Rhinolophus ferrumequinum: one gene and its partner. The protein of the gene in region 1 binds, or shares a complex with, the protein of each later gene. Links are inferred from orthologs where the notes say so. Each region holds a gene or a part of one and is shown in the gene's direction. Other genes may lie near its edges.

Region 1 (10,635 bases):
GTGCCAGAAAGGTGGGGCTGGGGGGCGCGAGGAGGAGAGGCGTGGTTAGGGGGCGCAGGGAGAGGAGGCGCCGCCTGGTGTTGGGGCCGCAGAGGGGCAGGCGGCGGGCCGGCCGGAGCCGGGGAGAGCCTGCGGGGGCGGGGGGGGGGGGCGCATTCCCATTTCATCCGACTCCGCCGTGCCATCTGTCTGTCTCCCAGACCCATTCTCCCCGACGCCGCCCTTCCTCAACCCCCCCCCCCCCGTGGGCCTGCCCTTCTCGGGGCGCTCAGTCAGGTCCCCGCCCTCCCCTCCATGTCTGATGTCCCTGTCTGATCTCTCCCTTTGCCCCACCCCGACGTCCCATCTGTCCCCACGTTGCCCACCCCCAGGCCGAGAGCAGGCCGGGAGCCATGCAGGGGTGTGCGAGGGCGGTCGCTGCTACCCCGATGCCTCCTCCACCCTCATGCCCTTCGGAGCGAGTGACTGTGTGTAAGTGTGGTCCTCCTCTCACCGCCGCCCATGACCCATCTTCCATGGGTGGGGGGAGCTAGCACGTGGCTCTGGGGGTGTCGGTGGGCTGCTGCCAGAGCTTGCTTCCCCCCACAATCAGTCTGTCTTCTCACCATTCCTGTCCAGAACCGAACACCTCCCACCACCCACCCCAGCCCCCTGAACCCCCTTCATGGACAGATCCCCCACATCCTGGGGCAGAAGAGGCGTCGACGCCAGAAGTGGCGGCAGCAGCAGCCGCAGCAGCCAAAGAGAGGCAAGAGAAAGAGAAAGCGGGCAGCGGAGGGGGCCAGGAAGAGCTGGTCCCCGTGGTTGTATTGGAAGAGGCCGTAGCTCTGGGCCCGGAGGTCCAAGGAGGTGCTGGATCTGGTGGGGCCCCGGGGGCCACCCCGATGGTGCAGCTCCAGCAGTTACCACTAGGAGGCGATGGAGAAGAAGGGGGCCATCCCAGAGCCATCAATAACCAGTACTCCTTTGTGTGAGACACCCCACCCAACCCTTTCTCCACTCGTCTCGCTCCTGGCGCTCCTTCCTGAGACGGGCTGGGCGGGGGCAGAGAGGACTGGTCGGAACCCGCACCCCCCATGCTTCCTGACCCTTGGTGGCCGAGGGCATGTATGTTGTTACAAGAAGAGGCTTGAGAGCCCTGTTAGCTCCTGGTTCGTACACTACAGGTGCCCCGTCCCCTTGGTGGGGGGTGGGGCTCCATTACCTCCCTGAGGGGCTCTTCTGCTCAGCCCCGCCCCTGGTGGCCATGTCCCCATTACACACCCCCAGCCCAAGGACGGGTGAGGGGAAGGGCTGTCAGTTAAAATTAAGATGGTTGTTGTTGTTGTTTTAAACAAAATGGAGAAGCTTAACTAAATAAAAGGGTTTATCTCAGTTCCATCCTGGTGGCTGTGGCCTGTGTTTGCAGTGGGGGCCGGGCCAGGGGGGTCAGCAGGGGCCCCGGTCCTGGGCTTTCAGCCCACGGCTCCTCTGTGGGCTGTCCTGTGGGTAAGAGCAGAGCCACCCAGCGCTGTCTGGGGTCTCCAGCCACGTTCTCGTAACGGGACTCAATCTCCCAGGACCCCTCCTGCTCTGAGTTCTTCAGTTAAGGCTTCCTACCCCAGGGAGAAAACAGGCAGAGAGAGGTCATGGGGGTGGGCCTGGGGGCACGGGGCTGTGTGGGGAGACATTGAATGTGGCAGCCACAGAGTCTGGCGGCAGAGGGGCCCAAGGGCAGGCTGGCCACCCTCCTCAGAGCCACTCTGGGGAGCCGGAGGCAAGGTGTAACCACTGCAGCCTCAGTATCTTCATCTGGAGAGTGGGAAGTTTCATCTGGGATGGAGCTCGTGACTCACAAGGTCTGAAGGTTAAGTTCCTGAACTTGGGGCAACGACGTTGCTGACCTTGTTTTGATATCAGAGGGATTGTTCATTATGAATTTGTACCAGCTGGACAAACAGTGAACCACGTTTACTATTTGGAAGTGCTGAAAAGGCTGTGTGACAAAGTTAGAGGACCTGAGTTTTTCGCCAACAATTCATGGCTCTTGCATCACGACAATGCACCAGCTCACACGGTACTGTCTGTGAGGGAGTTTTTAGCCAGGAAACAAATAACTGTATTGGAACACCCTCCCTACTCACCTGATCTGGCCCCCAATGACTTCTGTCTTTACCCGGAGATAAAGGAAACATTGAAACGACATTTTGATGACATTCAGGACATCAAGGGTAATACGACGACAGCTCTGATGGCCATTCCAGAAAAAGAGTTCAAAAACGGCTTTGAAGGGTGGACTAGGCGCTGGCGTCGGTGCACAGCTTCCCAAGGGGAGTCCTTCGAAGGTGACCATAGTGATATTCAGCAATGAGGTACGTAGCACTTTTTCTAGGATGAGTTTGCGATCTGAATTGTCCGCCCTCCTAGATGGCCTGGCTAATGGAATTTCACATAAAAGTTCAGATGATTGGCTTCTCTTGAAAATCAGAAGGCAGCCTCGTGCTGCATCTGCCTCATCCCTGCCCGACCTTGTCACTCATGACGTGCCTGGCCTGTGGGTATTTGCGGTTGCAACGTCTGCTGCTCCTCCGTTTCCCCCCAGCCCCTCCGTTTAACCCAGGCCCTGCTCTCTGAATTGCGGCTCTGCCCTCCTCCAGTGGAGGGCGCCCCTGGGCTTCTCGGCTCTGCGGGTAATGGGCGCCCACAAGGAGGGGCCAGGTTCCCCAGACTCCCACCTGCTTTACGTGGCCCCCTCCCCTCCCCACCTCTGTCCACCTACCTCTGCCTCTTACCATTCTGCCTCCATTTCCCTCCCAGTCAGCGTGGAGCCTCCACTTCCACGCCCCCCCCCCAGCCTCTGCCCCCACCTCTGGGCCCTACCCATGCCTGTGACCTTGCTATTCTGGGCCTCGTGTCCTGTGGGGAGATGGACAGGAGACAGCTGGGCTCACAGGCCACTCAGGCTGTGGGCTCGCCTGGGGAAGCCTGCTGGCTCTCCCCGTTTTATCTAATCCCTGGGACTCCCCCAAACCTTGGCCTCAGGAGACGGGGGGGGGGGGGGGGGGGGGGATAGAATTGGCTTTGCAAAGGTGGAGATGCTTTGGGGCGCTGGGTGCGATAGTCTCAAAACGAGATGGCCCCTGAAGGCTGCGTGCCCGAGCGTAAGCAGGGCCTGATTCTCCTAATCTAGCGGCAACTTGTGTGTGGGCTCCCTCTTCCCCTAAACCCCGCCGGCCCTCTGGGACTCGCCTTCTGAAGATGGGTGGGGGAGGGGTTCAAGGGCCCCCCACACCCCAAGATTTGCATGTCTTGGCCGGAGGAGCCTAAGAGACTGCTTCTCTCCCAGCCTGTGGTGGTTCAGCTGAAGTTCAGCACTGGTCAGGGATTGGCTGGGCTCAGTCCGTGGCTCTCACAGACCTACTCGCAGCTTCAGCCTTCAGATAGGAGGGGAAAAACACCTTCCAACTCTGGGCCTGGAGACCCCCGTGGCGTGGCGTGGCGCGGCGCGGCGTGGCGGGGATCCACGAGCAAGGGCCTCCCTGCTCGGCCCCCTCCGGGGCAGTTCACACCCCCAGCCTCCCTGAGGGTGATCCTTCCGCGGCTCTTGGCTTTCCCCCTTTGGCGTCAGGTCCCCGCTCTGGGAAGTTGATGGAGGTAGAAAGGACTAACCTTAAGGTCCCTGTTGCCAGCAGCGTCCTGCAACGCCGGCCTCCTTTCCGCAGCTCCATGCGCTCCGCTCCCTTGAACCTGTGACCGGTCCAGCCTTCTCCCCCTTCTCCATGTTTGGGCATTCCTGCTCCCGTCACTCCTCCAGGTGCTGTCAGGGAGAAGCCAGCCGGCCAAAAGGCTTGGCAGATGCGGAGCCCGACTGGGGCCTAAGAGCTGGGGGGTGCTGGCCAGGTGGAGGTGCCTGGCCAGGTGGATGGAGACTCACGCCGTTGTCTGAGCCCCCACGGCAGGTCACAGCAGGACTCTGCTTCAGCGCAGGTTTTGTTGGAACCCTGAGGAGGAGGGAGGGAGTACCCTGTCTGTGTCCTCAGCTCACCCCGAAATCCAGGAGGAGAGAGGGATGAGTGGGGGGGCCAAATCCTTAAATGCCCTCCCCCCATGCTAGCCTCAGAAGTCGGGTTTCCCTTGCCTTTGCCCGCTGCCCCCTGTGCCACTGTCTGCGTAGCAGCTGGGCGGCCGAGGGAAGCAGCCTTGAGACCCAGTCAGTCAGTGGCCTGTAATCCTCACCATTTCAGGAAACTGAGGAAGGACTTGAGGTCAGGGTGGCGAGGCTGCTTTTCCCCTCACTGACCTTTCACCACTGCTCCACTGAACGTCTCTCCTCTCTCTGCCATCCTTCCCTCCCCCACCCACACCCCAGGCTACCCTCTGCTCCTGCTCCTCCAGCAGCTGCCCTGGTAATAACCAAAAGATGCCCCCATCCCAGAGCAGGGGTGGGGGTGGGGGGCTCGGAGCAGCTGCTTCTCCGAGGAAGCTGACACCAAGGCCAGCCGCTCAGTGACAACTTGTGGCTTTGCACCCAGCCCTGGGCCCCCACCCACCTGGCTGCCACATGCCAGCTCCCTGCTGTCCCTTTTCCCCACTGCTCCTCAGACTTCCTTCTGACCCTGGCAGCTCTCTCTCTGCTCCCCCAGCTCTGGTCTGTCCTTATTTCCCCCAGACATGTCCCCATCAGTCTGCCCTCTCCCCACGCCTTTGGCCTGGAGCCTCTGCTTTATCCAGCTTCCCCAGCACCCTTTCCTGGATGCCCCTTCCCTCCTGCTGCTTCCCACGGGGTGTGCCCAGGGCCTGGACATACAGCTCTGGTCCTCACTCCCCTTGAGCACAGATACTTCAGGGCCAGGTGGAGTGCAGAGCGTCATCCATGTGGGGTCTGCCAGGGAAACCCCTTAGGTTACAGAGAGCACAGTATGGGACGGAGGCGACCCTTCTTCCATGACTTGGGGTGACCCCCACCCCCATCCTGAAATGTTTATCCCTCCCCCTCTGCCATCAGCACATTCTGTAGCCTCTTGGGTTACCTTGCTGCCTGGGTATCCCATTTTCTTGCGGGGGGTGGGATTCACTGTTCGAGATAGGGGGGGCTGGAGGTTATGTTCCCAGAGGCTGAGTTAGAGCGATGTGGGGGGGGGAATTTAGGGGAGAGACAGGCAGTCCTGGCTTTGCTCGTCGGGCCTGGACACTAAATCCCCTGTTGATGGCTGCCGCAACCCCTCCCTAGGGTAGGGTTACCATCTTTACCCTGTCCCCTTGACCCCCTCCCTTCCCTCTTCCCCTCATCCCTCCAGAGCCACTTCCTTTGGCCCCCAAAGGATGTTCTCCCCCTCTTCCATCCCCCGAAGGTTGGAATAGCTCTGCTGCCCTTTCAACAAACTAGGTGAAGAAGGAGGCTGGCAGGTTCAGAGTGGACGAGATGGGACGCAGGGGTGGGGGGTGGGGTGCGAGGGACGTGCCCGGGGAAGGCCTGAGAGGAGAAGTGGGCTTATGGGGAGAACTGGGGGGATGAGTTTGGAACCGGAAATTCAGTGCAACTGAGGAAGCTGAGGCAATTGGGGGAGGGGTCCGTAGCAGAAGACAGAAAGTGAAGTCTCTCTGCCCCCCTTCCCTGGGGCTGGGGCCATCTTAGCTTCCCTCATGAGTGACATCTCAGGCTGCAGCCCCACTGTTCCCCCTCTGTCAGCAGAAATATCTCTCTCTTCTGACCCCTCCTGCTGGCGTCTCAGCCAGCCAATCCCTGATCTGGGGGAGGGGGGAGCCTGGCCCCCCCTACTCCCTCATAAGGGACCAGCTGGGGGCTGGGGGGTGGCCGGCTGCTACAAGTGGGACGGGGGTCAGAGCTTCGTGAAAGGAAGAAAAACCTGGGGGGGGGCAGGAGAGAAAAAAAGAAGAAGCCCCGACAGACAGGCAGGTGGACACACTGAGGAAGGCCCCCCACACGTGAGAACCCCCCTAGAAGAAACACACGGCCCCCTGGCCCCCAGGAAGGGAGCACAATGGAGGGTGCACACTCCAAGAGCACAGAAGAATGTTTGGCCTATTTTGGGGTGAGCGAGACTACAGGCCTTACCCCGGACCAAGTTAAGCGGCATCTGGAGAAATATGGCCCCAATGGTAAGTGTGGCTCGGAGGCTGGTAATGCCCTCCCGCACACGCGCAGCGCACACGCATACTCACACGCAGTCTCCCCCTCTGGGGTATCGTAGGGAAGAGCTGGGTCCAACGACTGCAGCCGTAAGAGGATAGGGAAGAGAATACGGAGAAAACGGGGTCCCTGAGACCCAGAGTTTTGGGAGGTTTTATAGGATGACCTTGGAGAACCTCAGATGCCCTTTCGATGGCCTGATTCTCTTACCTTAGCCACAAAATCCTGGGTGTGTGTGTGGGGGGGCATCAGACAGAACCCCAAATGAACATGTCCTTTTCTTCTTTTTCCCTGGGTAGAGCTCCCTGCTGAGGAAGGTAAGTTACCGAAATCCCTGAGCTGTCATAAATGACCCCCCTCCCCTCTGGGCTCCACTCCCTTTTCCCTGCCTCTCCCTATTCACTCCTGGGGCAAATATCCCTCCCCAAGGGTTTGAGCCGGGCTGGGGGCAGAAGTTTCCAGGCACTTTCTCCTTGGGCATCCAGCCCTTGAACAACTGCCCGCCACTTGGAGGAGCCCGTTGGTGGCGTCCTGGCAAGCTCCCTCTCTCACTACCAAGTGGTCTGCCCATCGCCCCACAACCATCCTGCTCGGGGCTGGAAATCAGGGCGCCCTCAGTCCCTGGCCCCCAGCTTGCACCTGGAGTCCCTGCTGTCCATCCGCTAGACCTTAACCCCGGGGACGCCCTCCCCTTGCCTCTCCCCCCAGGGAAATCCCTGTGGGAGTTGGTGGTAGAACAGTTTGAAGACCTCCTGGTGCGAATCCTTCTCCTGGCCGCCTGCATTTCCTTTGTGAGTGTAGTGGAACATCTGGGGGCTGGCTGCGGGTGCGGGGATCTGGAGAGGGTGCCGAGGGTGGGGAGGGCTCCAAATCCGAGGCCCCCCTCGTCCAAGCCCTCGGCATCCTATCCTGCAGACCAGAACTGACCGGGGTGGGGGGTGGGTTGCTGATGTGCGCCCTCTGTCCTCCCCACACCCCGCAGGCAGGTTTTATTTTAAGCTTTAACGGTGTTCTCAGCCAAAACACTGAAGCTAAGCCACCCCCCGAAGCTTCCAGGGCTCCGAAGGCTCGGGTTACCCCCTTGAGCGAAGGGCTCCCCAGCTCCGTCGCTGCGGCCACTCGGGGGCGCCACTACTCCCTGGGTGCCCGAGGTGCAGGCTGCGCCTCTCCACCAATCCCCGAGCCTCCTGGCGCCGCTGCCCCGCCCTCCTGGCGCTGATTGGTCGAGGCAAAGACCCTCCTAGAGGCGGGAAAGCTGCTGGTGCGAGGGTGACTCCAAAGGCTCCTGGAGGCGCAGACCCCTCACTTGTCGCTGGCCTTGCTTCTCTGCCCCCCAACAGGGCTGAAAATCCTGGGATCCCTTTCCTCCCCAGACTGGCCTGACTCTCCCCTTCCCCGCCCTCCCTGGGCCCCTCCAGCCTCAGCGCTGCCCCCGCCCGCTCCTCAGGGTCCTGCCACGTGTCCTTGCCTGGGGCTCCCTTGGGCGCCCACCGTGCCAGCAATCAGTCGATCCTGCCATGTGGAGTTTCTTCCTTAACATCTTACTCCTGCTGGAAAACAAGCCTCCGGAGGCAAAACAGTGTCCCTGTCCCCTGGTCTCCTTCATGTAGGCCTGTGGGCCCCTGAGCACCAGCTGGCAGGGCCTCACTTCTCCCTTCTCAGATTTGCTCCTTGACATTTGCCTGTGGCTGTTGCCTTTGCAACAGCTGGGGTGGGGTGGGGTGTGTACAGGAGGCCCCGTAACACTATCCCGCCCCCCTCCTGCTCCCTCCTGAAATCGGAGCTTCCCTGCCTCGGGCTGTGGGGGGAGGGCTGTGGGTGGGCCAGCCGCCCGCCTGCCTGCGCGGACCACAGGTTTTTTCCTATGGAGTTGTGGCTCCCCTGGGATGGATGTGGCTGTGTGGGTAGTTGGCCCGGGTGCCCCCTGAGCTTTGTTTACAAGCGTGCAGCTCTGTCAGGGAAACCTGAAAGCATTCCTCGGTAATCCCTGAGGGGTGCAGGTCTGTGCCCGCCTGGCGGTGCTGCCCATCCTGGAGTGTTAGACCGGCAGACCGACGCGCGGCTGCGCGCCCGGTGAGGCCTGGCCCTTTCTTTGCTCCTGCACGAGTTCTCACCTCCATTGGCCTTCTTTACCTGTTTAAGGGCCGCTCTCACCTGTGATTCTCCCTTCTCCTGCTTCCCAGGTGCTGGCCTGGTTTGAGGAAGGTGAGGAGACCGTCACTGCGTTTGTTGAACCCTTTGTCATCCTCTTGATTCTCATTGCCAATGCCATCGTGGGGGTTTGGCAGGTTAGCTTCCACCCCTCTTGGTTCCTTCATGTCCGGACACTGAACATGAGGCCCCCTCCCCCCACCCCCCATCACTTCCCTTGGGCTTGCCTTGTTCTCTGGTCCTATTGCTCAGTTTGTAAATGGGACGGAGTGTGGGCAACAGGTGGGAGCTGGTGTTCCCACTGTCACTTGCTGGCTGTAGAACTCTGGGCAAGTTCCTTCATCTGTCTGAGGCTCGGTTTCCTCATCCATAAAATGGGGCTAATAATCCTGTCCCTCAGAGTTGTGGTGAAATATAAAAAGATGATGAGTGTGAAGGTGCCTGGTGTATAGTAGGTGCTCAATAAATGCTAGTTTGAGTTTCTTCTTTCCATTACCTCACCACCCTCTACTTTTCCTGTCCCCTGCTTTCTGATTTTCTTTCTCTTTTCTTCTCTCCCAACCCCCCTAAACCGTTTTTGGCCGTAAGCAACAGGTTCTTGAACACATACACACCCCGACTCTCCTGGGTGGGGGGGTTGTCTACTCCCCTGCGTAACCTCCCTCTTCCTTGCTGGTGTCCCTGTTGGCCCCAGGACTCTGGCCCCTGCTCTGCCATCCCTACACCGCCTGCCCCACCCTCCCCTGCCTATCTCCTGCCCTTCCTCAACCTCCCTCCCTCTGATGACCTCCACCCTGTCCCGCCAGGAGCGTAATGCAGAGAACGCCATCGAGGCCCTGAAGGAATATGAACCCGAGATGGGGAAAGTCTACCGGGCGGACCGAAAGTCAGTGCAAAGGATCAAGGCCCGGGACATCGTTCCTGGGGACATAGTGGAGGTGGCTGGTGAGTGGTGGGCATGAGCGGTCCAGGACGGGAGGCCTCGGGTTCCAGGCCAGGACGATGTGTCTGCTGGGGGTGGGGGCTGGGCTTCTGGCGTCCAGGGGGTTGCCAGGCTGGAGGAGTCTTTGCTTCTCCTTCCTTCCCAGACTCCTCAGGAGGTCACCCCAGGGCACTGTGGCCACAGCACCCCCTCCCTGTCAGAGTCTCCGCAGGAACAGCCAGTCCTGTCCCTGAAGCTGCAAGCAGACCCCCACTTCCCCTCCCCTCACCCAGCACTTGCAAGCAACAGGTGGAACCCAGGCCCTGCCAATGGTCCCGTCTCCACCCCCCTCCTGAGGCCTGGCCTCCCCCCCCAAGCTTGGTCAGCCTTAAATCTTGACCTCTCAGTGCCCTTGAGGCCTCTCAAAGGGGAAGGAGTGAGGGGAGAAGGAGGAGGGGGGCCAAAGGCTCCAGCCCCCGACCATGTAAGGGAAAGTCAGGCCCCAGCAGAGAGCACGGGACCTGGGAAGCGAGCTCCAGGAGGGCCGCCTCTGCAGGGAGGGACACTTAATGCCTGCCCAGGGAGGGGTGGGGGCCGGCTGGCTAAGATTACTGCGATTCTGCCCCCTTCAGCGGTTTTTATATTTGCCCTGCACAGGCCTCCCCATATCTCTGGGCCCCTGGCATAAGGGAATGTCTTTCTCAGCCGGCTTCCCTCCTCTAGACACCTATGTGGCTACCATGGGAACCTTGGGGAGAAGAAGGGAGGGCGGGCTGAAGACCCCAGCGCCCCATCCCCGGGCTGTCCTGCTACGGTGACAGTTTGGAGTCAGCACCATGAATGTCTATAAATATCACTTGGGCTTGGGTGACAGGGTGTCCCGCCCAGCTCCACGGCCACCCTCCTCCCTCCGCCCTCGGCTTCCTCTGGCACAGGAGGAGGCACCCTAGAAACAGGGGAAGGAAACCCATGGAACCCTGTCCCCAGTACCAGCCTGGGTACCAGGCAGGATTGGGCAGCGGTCCCGGGAAGCATGCGGCCTCCTCAAAGGTCTCAAGTCTGGAGGGGCGTCGGCCCTGCAGCCTCCCCCATGGCGGCTTCTGTCCTGACCCTGACTTCCGGGCCTCTCCCTGGGCCTCCCCCCCGATGGCCCAGCTCTCTGCTGGCTGTTGCTTCACTGTCCCCCGACTCCCTGTTCCCTGCAGGCCTCCCCTTCTCTCCTGCCTGCCTCCCTGCCCCCCACCCACTCACTCCCCCAGCTTCCTGCCCTCCCTCAGGTGCTCACACGGGGCAGCAGGTTTCAGGTGTGTCCTCTCCATGTGCACCTGTGCCCCCCTGCCCCAGCCTTCCTCCCTCTCCTCCTGCACCTTCCCTTCTCATACTCCCCTCTCACTTGCTCTCTCCTGCTTCTGGCTCCACCTTTTGTTGACAT
Region 2 (10,550 bases), on another chromosome or scaffold:
CTCAGTGATAGGAAGCCTAGAATGTACTATTTTATTCTTAAATCAAGAACTCATGAGTAGTTCAAGTTACTACAGGTCTTATAAACGTCACCGACTTTTCTCACATAAATTGATGAAAGTTAAGAGATTTTTATTTTTAAAACATTCTGATGCCCATGAGTTGAAGACTTATTAATTAATCAATCAATCAATCAATCACTTTACATTCAGGTATATTTTTATTCAACAAACTTTTATGAAGTGCCCACTATATACTCTGCACTACACAAGTAGGTAGGCACTGGGTCTGCAGGAGTAAGAGATAAGTCCTGTTGTTAAGGAGGGGAGATGGACAATAGGTCAATGTGATAGAGTGAAATCAGTAGTATAAAGGGCTACATACATCACAGAGGTCCATCCATCCTACCTTTCCGGATCAGGGAATGTAATATTTGAATCAAGTCTTGTTGTTAATCATCAAACAAAGGTGGGAGGTGTTGAGGGAAGAAAGGAAGACATTCTCTCTCAGACGTTCTCTGAGAGAGAATGCCTTATAAGTGAAAGAAATGGCATATGCACACATGGAGAGAACGTCTGAGGAAGTGCAAGTTTGGGATTACTGGAGAGGAGGGCAGTGAGTTTTAGAAATGAGATTATGATAGGGCTTTGCCTCTGTAGCCGAAGATTTTGAACTTAATTTGGGAGGTATAGGAAAACACTGAAATAGGAAATAAAATGCCAAGTGCAGAGAAGCCAATTTCTACTCTGGGCCCACTGGAAAGATAAGTGGTAGAAAGCATGATATAATGCACTATCTATGCAAGGACACTGGTGAGGGAAGGGCCTCAGCTTGAGCCAAGCTGCGTCTAGTGCTGCGTTTCGAGATGTGTCAGCACTTGTCTTGTGTACTGATGGAAGAGGCCAGATAGAAGTTGATTTGCTCTGGGAACTTAGGCACCTCCTAAGAGGTAATTCATCCTAAGAGAAGGAAAAGTTTGGTGTAGTATCAAATCTTAGCGGTGGAGGGAAGTGAGTTTGATATAACACGATGCCTGTTACTTCTGTGTGTTCCCTGGCTGAACTTGCCCATGAACTCATGTCTGGGAAGATGCTGGAGTGGTAGCAAGGAATTACTTCTTTGGTACTCCTCAACAGGGTGTAACGCACAGAAAGAGGCATACTTCCTCACTCCCACTCCTCATTTCGCTCCAGAAGTAAGTGTAACTTTGGTACTTCCAGTGGTCAAAAGCTGTGGTACCCAGCAGGGGAGGCTGCAGAGGAAGGGTGTCTGGCACCAGACAAGGCATGTCATGGTGACGACTGGGAGACTCAATCAATTGTCCATAGAGGAAGTGGCAGTGATGCCTTGTGCCCGGTACTCAGTAGGAGTGGTTGCCATGTAAGTGCCTGGTGAGGGCTGTCACATCTAGCAAAAGAGGGATAAAATAGATGAGGAAGAAGATGTCAGCTTGTTGGATTTGTGTTAGCACAAAAGGTATACCCCGTAAAGACATAGATGTAATTGGCCTGAGGTCTGGGGGCCCCCTTTGCTCTTCCACACTGGCAATTAAGGGCAAGAACCCGCAGAATGCAAGCTAAAGAGAATAGGCCTGAACCACCCCTCCCAGATAAGCTTCCCAAATTCATGGAATACTAGCCCCTGGCAACTCCACATTCACTTACTGTAAAAGTGTAAAAGGTTAGGTTACTCCCCAGGCTGTAGAAGGAGTGTCCAGTTGCTCTCAGAGGTAGCACATCCCTCATCCAAAAGGAAACCTAGCCTGTAGCTTTCATCCAGCTAAGCTTCTTTCACATTGCAGCACCTAGGCACTTCCGTTTTCTCATTACCTTCACAGAGAGCAGAGATAGATTTTCATGATTCTTTATGACTCTGTTCTCTCTACTTTAATAGCCAAAGGCTACAGCCAAATGAACTTGTTCACAGAGAACAGCAAGCAATTTTATCTGATTCTTCTTATTCTTGCTGAAACTGCAGTTGTGTTATTCTGACTGACAGATTCTCAAAGGAAATTCAGTCAAAATATCCTTGATCAAATTCACTAAGGAACAGAATGTTTCAAGTGGGCGTGTCTGGCCAGAATCACTCTTAACAGCTCAGTAACAGCACGTTAAGATTGCTGCATTCTTATTTCCCATCAGAGAAATAAAGCCAATCTGAAATCTGGGAGTGTTTTGAGGGCAGATGGTATTAGCCTAGTAGTAAACACAGTTTTGGCTGCTTTCCCTCTGCCCCCCTCTCACAGTAGCTATGTTCAATGTGCTGACAGAAAGCTGTTTATTTGCAGAATCTTATTATAGAGCAGAAATACACTTGTTCCAGAGAAGAGGAATTTAATTGGTTTCAAGTCAGATGAAGTTAACAGGTGTCGCCTCACAAATCCAGGACTAAAATGGCCTATTATAAACAGGACTAACACAAAATTTTCTGGCTCTAGCTCCAGCTATTAGGCAAGACTGCGAACCCCTGTAATTCTCCTCCCGATTTTTTCCAGAGACTTCAGGGGGTGGTTGACATGTGCTCACGCACTAGTATGGTTGGCTACCATGGAGTGCCTCCCACTTTCTTGCTCTTTAGCTCAAGTTCCTCTCTTCTGCTATTTGCTACTAATGCCTGCACAGTTTAGTATAAACTGCAAATACATCTTGGTCAGCACTGCTGCTTCAGCTCGGCTCTGTAATACTTCAGTGGAAGAACATTACGTTGCTGGCTCCGTGGATGTGCTGGGGTCTGTGAAATGGCAAGGGTAGAGGGAGAATCTCTCTCTCGGTCAGTGTTACACCCTTAGGTTGTTAAAAGAGTTATGGAGTAGTTTTTTGTTTGTTTGTTTGTTTGTTTGTTTAACCATAGCTCTCTCTACTCCTAGGACCCAGACTCCAAGCTGTAGAGAAATAAGAGGGCAGTTTGTGGGTATGATGGCCATGGGAATGTGCCTCTCAGACCTGACTGCTCCATAATAGAGGTGGACCCCAGCTGCTGTACTCAGATCATTATCATGTTTGCACAGAGGCCACATTTCCCAGTGTTTTTCCCAGTCAATGATTGAGTGTGGGAGGAACAGGAAGGTCGAGTCATTCCTGGGAGACACCGGGCACCTCTGACAGATGACTTTGACTTGAGGTTTCCTAACAGACTTGTCAAACTTTCCTGAGAGCTGAGTTGCAGCCTAGGATGCTGCTACCCAATCGTCCTTTTCCCTGTCTTTTTCTTGCTGTTTGATGATTCTATGTTTCCTCCCTCCTTCCATATTTTTTTCTCACAGGCATTCCCCCAAATACATTTTCCTTTTGCACATTTAGTCCCATCTTGCTTCTCACAGGACCTGGACTAAAACTGAATTTGAGTTACTGCAATAAAATGACCATCTATTCTCCCTGTTGCTAAACTACAGTATTGTCTTGATCACTTCCCTTCAGAGCTTTATTGCCCAGGTGGCTTTTAGGCCCTTTTATTAGTAGACTTGATATTGATGTCAACTTCCCTCACTCATCTTTGCCAGGCATGCTTAGATATGTCTGGATCTCAGCAGGAGATGTGATGGAGGCTCAAGCTGAGCCTCTTGCTATACATTCTAGAGCATCTTTTATGACTCTTCTCTGGCTCAGTGTGCAGCTAGAGAAACAAAAGAAATACAAGAGACCCTTCCTGCCTTTGAAATTAAAATGCAGGTAGTGAGACAAAATCACGTATGTGCCACAAGTGATTAAGAATATAGATAATAATGATTAATTTTTCAAGGACATGGAGAAAACTTCAAGAAATAGGACTTCCTCTTTCTCTGAGCTTGTACTCATGTATTTAGGATAATGAAAGAGAGTAGCAGGAAACTGTTTCTTGCATTCTGAGCAGCTGCATGTGGGGCTGTGAAGGTGAGAAAGGTACCATGATCATCGCACTCATTACTGTGATGTGCTAAGAGCTTATCGCCGCTCACGAAGGCCTTGCTGAAAGCTCCCACTGTGGAACAGACTTGCAGGATTCATGGACTGACATGAGATCTTCACTTTTCGCTTCCCAAAGTAAAAAGGTGGATGGAAATGGGGAGTAAATGGAAAAAGCTAGTTTAGCTCTTAATGAGGCACAAGACCTCAGCATTGATTCTCAAAAGGTATATAATGTTTTACACCTAAGAACCTAAGAATGTATATGGTGGTGATGGGAGAGGAGGAGATAAATATTAATTAAATCCTCAATGCCAATGTCAATGTGATGTCGTTTTCTTGACATTTTTGGCTCTTGGCTAAATTCTAGATTAATAGGCACAGAAATAATGTCAAAGATTATTTAGCATGTCTTCCTGCTGATGGGCAAGGCAGCACCTTGAAAGAAAGTTGATATGTAATGAATGCTGTTAAGACATGGGAATTGCTCACAGAAGGGAAAGTATCAGTACAATTAAATAAGGTTGACTGAAAGGGATGAATTTGCTTCGGCACAATAAGATTTGAAATCTTATTCTCAGTTTCTTAAATGAGAGACAATAACGTGTTTTTGTTTTTTTTTTCCTCTTTTTAATGGACTGGCGGATCCTCAGGGTTAAACTCTCTCCCTTCAGCCTTTGAACAGTTATCAGGTGGCTTTGGGTGGATTGCATATTTTTCTGGAGAGGTTAGGTCAAATTAATGACAAGCTAAATTCCCAGTGTAATCCCACTCTCTCATGACATCCCATGATAAACCATGAATATGCAGAAGCTTCTGAAGTCTCTATCTGGGAATTTGTCAGTGTACTGGACACAAGAGTTCCTGGTATAATGTTGGATAAACTTAAATGGAACAACCAAATAGACAAATTGAACTGACTCATGAATAAGCAGTAGGATTTTTCCTCCAAGTTACATTGAAATTGACCAATTCAACTAAATTGACAAATTGGTAAGCTATTTTGTGATATGTTAATATTTCTCCATTGTAGTTAATGTGTTAACTATTGTTAAGAGCTAATTCTTATTTTCACACGTACAAAATAAACACTTGTCCCATAAACCCAATACCAACCATGGTATATAGTATGAATAATTTGATTCTACGTGATTTAAAAAAAACAAAAACACTTTTTCAAGTATCAGATGCCGTTACCAAAAATATTTTGGGATTTGAAATTGTTATCGATGCAGCCTCAAACATGAATAAAAAGTAATATAAAGGGTCTTTTCCCTTTTAGGTGGTGGGATTAGCGGTAACTTAAATTTTCTTTATACTTTTATGTTTTCAAATTTTTTACAATAAATATATCTTTTTAATTGGACAAAAAGTAATTTCGAGTGGTTAAAAAGGGGACAGGTGTGGTTTGGTTACTAGGAAAACATTCCTAGCATTTGAAATAATCTGGCAAGGGCTTGGAGGCAAAAGACAGAAATCTGACTACATTCAAGGAGTTTGCCAGATGGCACCAAATAACTGCAAGTGTTTGATTGGGCTATAATTATTAGGTACTATTTGTCACTTCAGCAAGTTATCTTTTTACAAGGCATGTGACGACAGGATGTTGTTTTAAGATTACCCATCATTGGGCTTATGTTGAAATGAAGAAATAGAATGGAAAGTCTTTCTTTCAGTACTGTCTCTGGAGTATCAGGAAGGGTGGGGAAAGATTTGACAATGAACACAACTATATAGAGAATTTTATTTGTTTATGCTTTGTGGGAATGCATTATTTTGATTGACCCTAACTGAGAATTCAGAGGGGAGATTTGCTCTATTATCTGCAAAGAAAGAATTTGCTGAGTAAACACAATTTGGGGAATCATGTTTAAATTGCTTAGTTGATGTGTTTTCAAGTCTAGTTAAACACTTCACAGGTTCCTTTTACCAGCAGACATCTGAATTTTTTATTACAAACTCATCTTAAGAGTCTAGTTTTAGTCAGTGTTTACATTTGAAAGTTATTCAATTAGATTTCTTTCAGATATATAGCCGGTAACTCATGTTTTTCACTAGCTTTGACAGTTCTCCTTTTACCTCCAATCTATCCAAATGACTTTGAGTTTTGCTGTATGAGCTTACTGCTGTATTAGTTTACTGACAGAGATATATAAACCGTGGCTTCCACAGCTGTTTTAGATGAAACGGTATATTAATGTGTAATCTTGCAACATACAGCTTAGCTGGAAAGGTATGCAGAGCAGGTGACTGAGGAGATAACTTTCACTGCTTGGACTAAAGACAGTTTGGAAGGAGCTGAAGAAGACTGTTGAATTCTGGTGTGTGCGTGCAGTTTGGGATGTGTGTGCACGAGGTGCAGAACTCTTCACATTTCAAAGAGCTAAAGGGTAGTAAAATGAAGTCGTATTTTACACCCTCACATGCTGAGTAAGGAGAGCAGCCAAATGCCACATTGATTTTTAAATATTTGGCTACCACTCTTGGTTTATGATCTTTTAAACACGTGTTAGAGGTATTCATGAAGATGTAAAAGATTAAAACTTGCATTGACTATAACAAAAATCAATTGGAAAGAAAAGATTTTTAAGTACCTGCGGTGTTAACACAAATTTGCAGCCAAAAGAACAGAGTCTTAGTCAATATATTTCCATGTCCCCCTAAACACAAATAGCCTCAAACCTTTGGAGGTTGTTCCTTTGAGATGTTTCATTAGTGACATCACAGTGATTGCCACCTCCCTGGGACTACTTTAGGCCCTGCCAGAGCCCAGGAGTTCACACAGCCCAGAAGACCAGCCAGAGGTGGAGCCAGAATTGGAGCCCACGTTGGAGAAAGACAGGAGAAACCTACAACAGCCAGGTGTGTTCTTGACCCTCTTTACGGAACAGCAGGACTTTCATGCTTAGCATGGAGTGTGTGTGTATGTGTGTGCACAAGTTACAAATGAGAAAGGCAGTGGAATATTTACATTTCATAATGAAATAGGCTATGCTTGTTGTACACAGTGTTTCTTCAGATATAAAGTGAATAATATCGATTCTTGTCCTTTTTTTCACCTCATGGTATGTATGCATTTTCTCCCTTTCTCTTAAAAAACATTTTTTTTTTTATCATGGAGGAAAGTCTGTCTTCCATCTTCTGAAAAATCTCTGTTCAACGAAAGTCTGAATAATTTATTCAGAGCTTTTTTGGTTTTTATTTCATCCATATGGTAATCGCTTTGGATCATATGGTGTGATTTTGACTCCAGGAAAGATTTTAAATGAAGCCAAAATTGTTTTTGTGGGTTAACAGCAAAAAAATGAAGGTTGCTGATCTGAATTTCTGCCTACCTTTGGTATAAATGTGTGTGAAAGTCAAGTCAAGCCCACCTTCTACAGTTAGAGTATGTGTTGATTGAGTTGGATTCATTAGAAATTCTCACCTTAACTCTTTGTGTTTTATTCATTAAAAAATATATAAAACAACCAATATTTAACTTCACCATCAAAGTGCAAGAAATAGTAAGAGGTAAACCACAGGAAATAAAGAAGTGTGATGGGTAGTCTTTCAATTCAGAGACTACTGGAAAGAACATGAAGAATGCATAAAACATACAGTTTGACAATAATTATAAGGCAACACCTATATAACTATCACCCAGGTCAAGAAACAGATCATTGCCAGCCCCCCAGAAGTTCATTCCTGGTCACCTCTCCCTTTTGCCCCACCAGAGGCAATCACCATCTTGATTGTTGAGTAATCTTGCCCATGCTTCTCTTTATATATAATTTTACCATCTATGTCTGCATTCCCAAACAATATGATTAAGTTCTGTTTTTGGCTTTGTATAAATGCAATCATATTCTATGTTTCTTTTGTAAATTCTTTTGCCCAACATTTATATTTATGAGCTCCACCCATCTTGAGTACTGTTATAGTTCGTATACTTTCTTAGCTCTATAGCATTCAAGTGTATGAACATACCACAATTTATCATCTATTCTACTATTGATAAACATTTGAGTTGTTTCCAGCTTTAAGGTATTGAGACAATGTTGCTGTGACCATTCTTGCATGAACATCCTCGTACATATGTGCTTGAGTTTCTAAAGACCACGTAATGATTCATTCTTGTAATCACTCGTATGGAGTAATCACAATTCTGTTATAGAAACCAGTACCAGCCTGCCAGTTCTAGCTCTGCCTCTAAATCGCTGTGTGTCATTATACAAACAATTTAACCTCTTTGTAAAAGCCACTTTCTTAGCTGTAATTTTGGGAGAGATAAAAATCACAATAATACTTGCCTGATGTGTGAAGGTCACGGAGTTGTTGTGAAGGTCACATGACCAGAATTGTGGACAGCTTTCAATAACATCTTCCCCAGCATGTTTCTGTTGGGCCACTCTCATGATTTCCTTTATTTAGGAGCTTAATCTAACGAACGCAGATTTGGTGGGACCATTATTTTGCCCTCCCTGAACTGGGTTGTTTCGATCATTATAAAGAGTGTCATGTTTTTTGCATATCTCAGTATTTCTTTAGAACTTATCCAAATGAGTGGGCATTTGCATGAGGATTTGATTTTTTTAATAAATTCATAAGGAAGAGTCTGCTTTTGATTCTCATTCTTTGGCCTCCAGGCTCCCTACCTAGATTCATCACCTTCCTGTTCTCCCCTGCTCTTGTGTACATTCTTACATATTCTCTCTAGTCATTTAGCCATTTATTTCCTTCTGTTTACTCTCTTCTTCAATTGGTTGTAAAGATTTTGGTTGGTGATTTACCTCATACTTCGTGTGGAGGGCCAAAAGATGGATAAGAATAAAAAGGAAAATAAAATATAAATCAATCATCATTGGCCATATTTTCAACCAGGATTGAACAACCTACTGGTTGACACCATCTGATCTGAATTTGTGTGTTACACTAACAATGAAATAATATGAAAAATGACTATTCATCTAGTTTATACAATTAACAGTTTGGTCCACTATTAATACAACAAGTATAGTTGTTACAATTAATAATTCAGTCAGGTTAGATGGTTGTCAGGCTAAAGGCTTGCTAACAACCCTTCCTGTCCTCTGAACTTCCACCCTTAGCAAATGAACAAAACACCCTTTCCTCTTGAACGTTTTTACTCTACAAGAGACTTTTAAGTATCTAAAATATTATCTTTAATCTTTAATTTCATTTAATTTACATACACAAAGTGTGCATTATGCCACATCACTGAAGGTAATAATTTGACTGACTGCATCGCATATGTTGTCCAAGTGTGATTTCCTAAGTGTACTGTCTGTACAAACTAGAAAGATATCATCCCTGCTCTTTGAAGTGTTTACAATCTGAGCACATCCTAGACCTGACTAAAAATAGCTGGCACAAGCCCTTGTTGAAATAGAAGTACCCATGAGGTTAACACTTGCTCTTTGGACTGAGTGTCTGTTATGTGAGGTACTTTCAGTTGACCCCCAATAGGCTCTGTGCCCAATGCAGTGCTTATAAAAGGCCAGGCAGATGTTCAAACTACTCCATGCTTTCACCGGGGCTAGAAGAAGACCTATTTTTCAGGCCTGAGACCTGAAAAATTATGGTATCCTACTTCTATATGTAACTGAAAGCAAGAATAGTACTAAACCATAACATTTGTTTTCTGTTTTGATGACCTTGCTTGCTGTGACTCTAAGTTAGCAAAGCAAGTACACACCTATTCACATACACAAACACAGAAATTGGAGAGAAAAAAATGTAATATTTTGTATTTTATCAAAAGCATCAATATAATCATTACAGGAAAAAAAGCAGGACTATGTTGGTCTTTTTGATATCAGGCAGAAAAGACAGTCTCTCTGTGTTAGTCAGGATTCTTCAGAGAAACAGAACCAATAGGGTGTGTGTGTGTGTGTGTGGGTGTGTGTGTGTGTGTGTGTGATGTAATTGGCTTGTGCAGTTGTGGAGGCCGGCAAATCTAAAATCTGCAGGTAGGCTGCAGACTGGAGACCCAGGGAGGAGTTGCAACTCTAGTCCAGAGGTATTCTGGAGGCTAGAAATCTGTGGTCAGGGTGTTGGCAGGTTGATTTTTTCTGAGGCCTCTCTGCTTGGCTTCCAGATATCTATCTCCTCCCTGTCTTCAATTGTTTTCCTCTGTACATATCTGTGTTCTAATCTCTTCTTGTAAGGACACCACTCAATTGAATCAGGGCCCATCTTAATGACCTCATTTTAACTTAATTACCTGTTGAAAAACCCTATCTCCAAATACAGTCATATTCTGAGATACTGGGGCTTAGGATTTCAACATATGAATTCTGGGGGCGACACAATTCAGCTCCTAACACTAACCTCTTCCGCAATGCTTCTATTTCCTTTGAGGAAGGAATGCTCATTAATCTCCTCGTTTTTACTTTGTTACATTCTGTTAGGAGGTGAGGACAAGCAGGAGGCTCTGGTGTGCCCTGAGAAGTCTGCCTCCGGTTCTCACTGAGCCACTGTGAGAATGGAACACTCCACCCGGGAGCTGTGTCTCAACTTCACCATTGTCCTGATTACGGTTCTCCTCATGTGGCTCCTTGTGAGGTCCTATCAGAGCTGAGACGGCATGTCACGCTCCTGGGATTGACTGCAACACTCCAGAGCTGCCTGCTGTATGCCCTGAGATCCCACTGCTGTCATGGGATGCC

What was found. Proteins that work in one complex are often made in the same cells at the same time.
Region 2: the proteins of ATP2A1 (region 1) and SLN are in contact, whole or in part, in a crystal structure (PDB 3W5A), measured with the Oryctolagus cuniculus proteins. The link is inferred for Rhinolophus ferrumequinum from reciprocal best matches to the Homo sapiens genes ATP2A1 and SLN. Residues at the interface, in XP_069919846.1 of Oryctolagus cuniculus: Phe88, Val89, Leu96, Ala100, Ile103, Val104, Trp107, Arg110, Asn111, Asn114, Arg324, Lys328, Trp794, Leu797, Gly801, Leu802, Thr805, Ala806, Phe809, Trp932, Ser936, Leu939, Leu943, Leu946, Ile947, Val950, Pro952, Leu953, Ile956; in NP_001075856.1 of Oryctolagus cuniculus: Met1, Glu2, Arg3, Ser4, Thr5, Arg6, Glu7, Leu8, Leu10, Asn11, Phe12, Val14, Val15, Thr18, Val19, Leu21, Ile22, Trp23, Leu25, Val26, Tyr29.

The regions. Positions count from the first base shown.
Region 1 is NW_022680357.1:1,254,137-1,264,771, forward strand, and holds the start of ATP2A1 (sarcoplasmic/endoplasmic reticulum calcium ATPase 1), read left to right. Parts: upstream 1-5,774; 5' UTR 5,775-5,981; coding exon 5,982-6,099; intron 6,100-6,429; coding exon 6,430-6,447; intron 6,448-6,838; coding exon 6,839-6,921; intron 6,922-8,313; coding exon 8,314-8,418; intron 8,419-9,087; coding exon 9,088-9,226; intron 9,227-10,635. Other genes in the region: SH2B1 (SH2B adapter protein 1), read left to right, coding at 619-974. UniProt on the Homo sapiens protein: Key regulator of striated muscle performance by acting as the major Ca(2+) ATPase responsible for the reuptake of cytosolic Ca(2+) into the sarcoplasmic reticulum.
Region 2 is NC_046294.1:76,577,845-76,588,394, reverse strand, and holds the start of SLN (sarcolipin), read left to right. Parts: upstream 1-6,647; 5' UTR 6,648-6,741; intron 6,742-10,292; 5' UTR 10,293-10,366; coding exon 10,367-10,462; 3' UTR 10,463-10,550. UniProt on the Homo sapiens protein: Reversibly inhibits the activity of ATP2A1/SERCA1 and ATP2A2/SERCA2 in sarcoplasmic reticulum by decreasing the apparent affinity of the ATPase for Ca(2+). Also inhibits the activity of ATP2A3/SERCA3.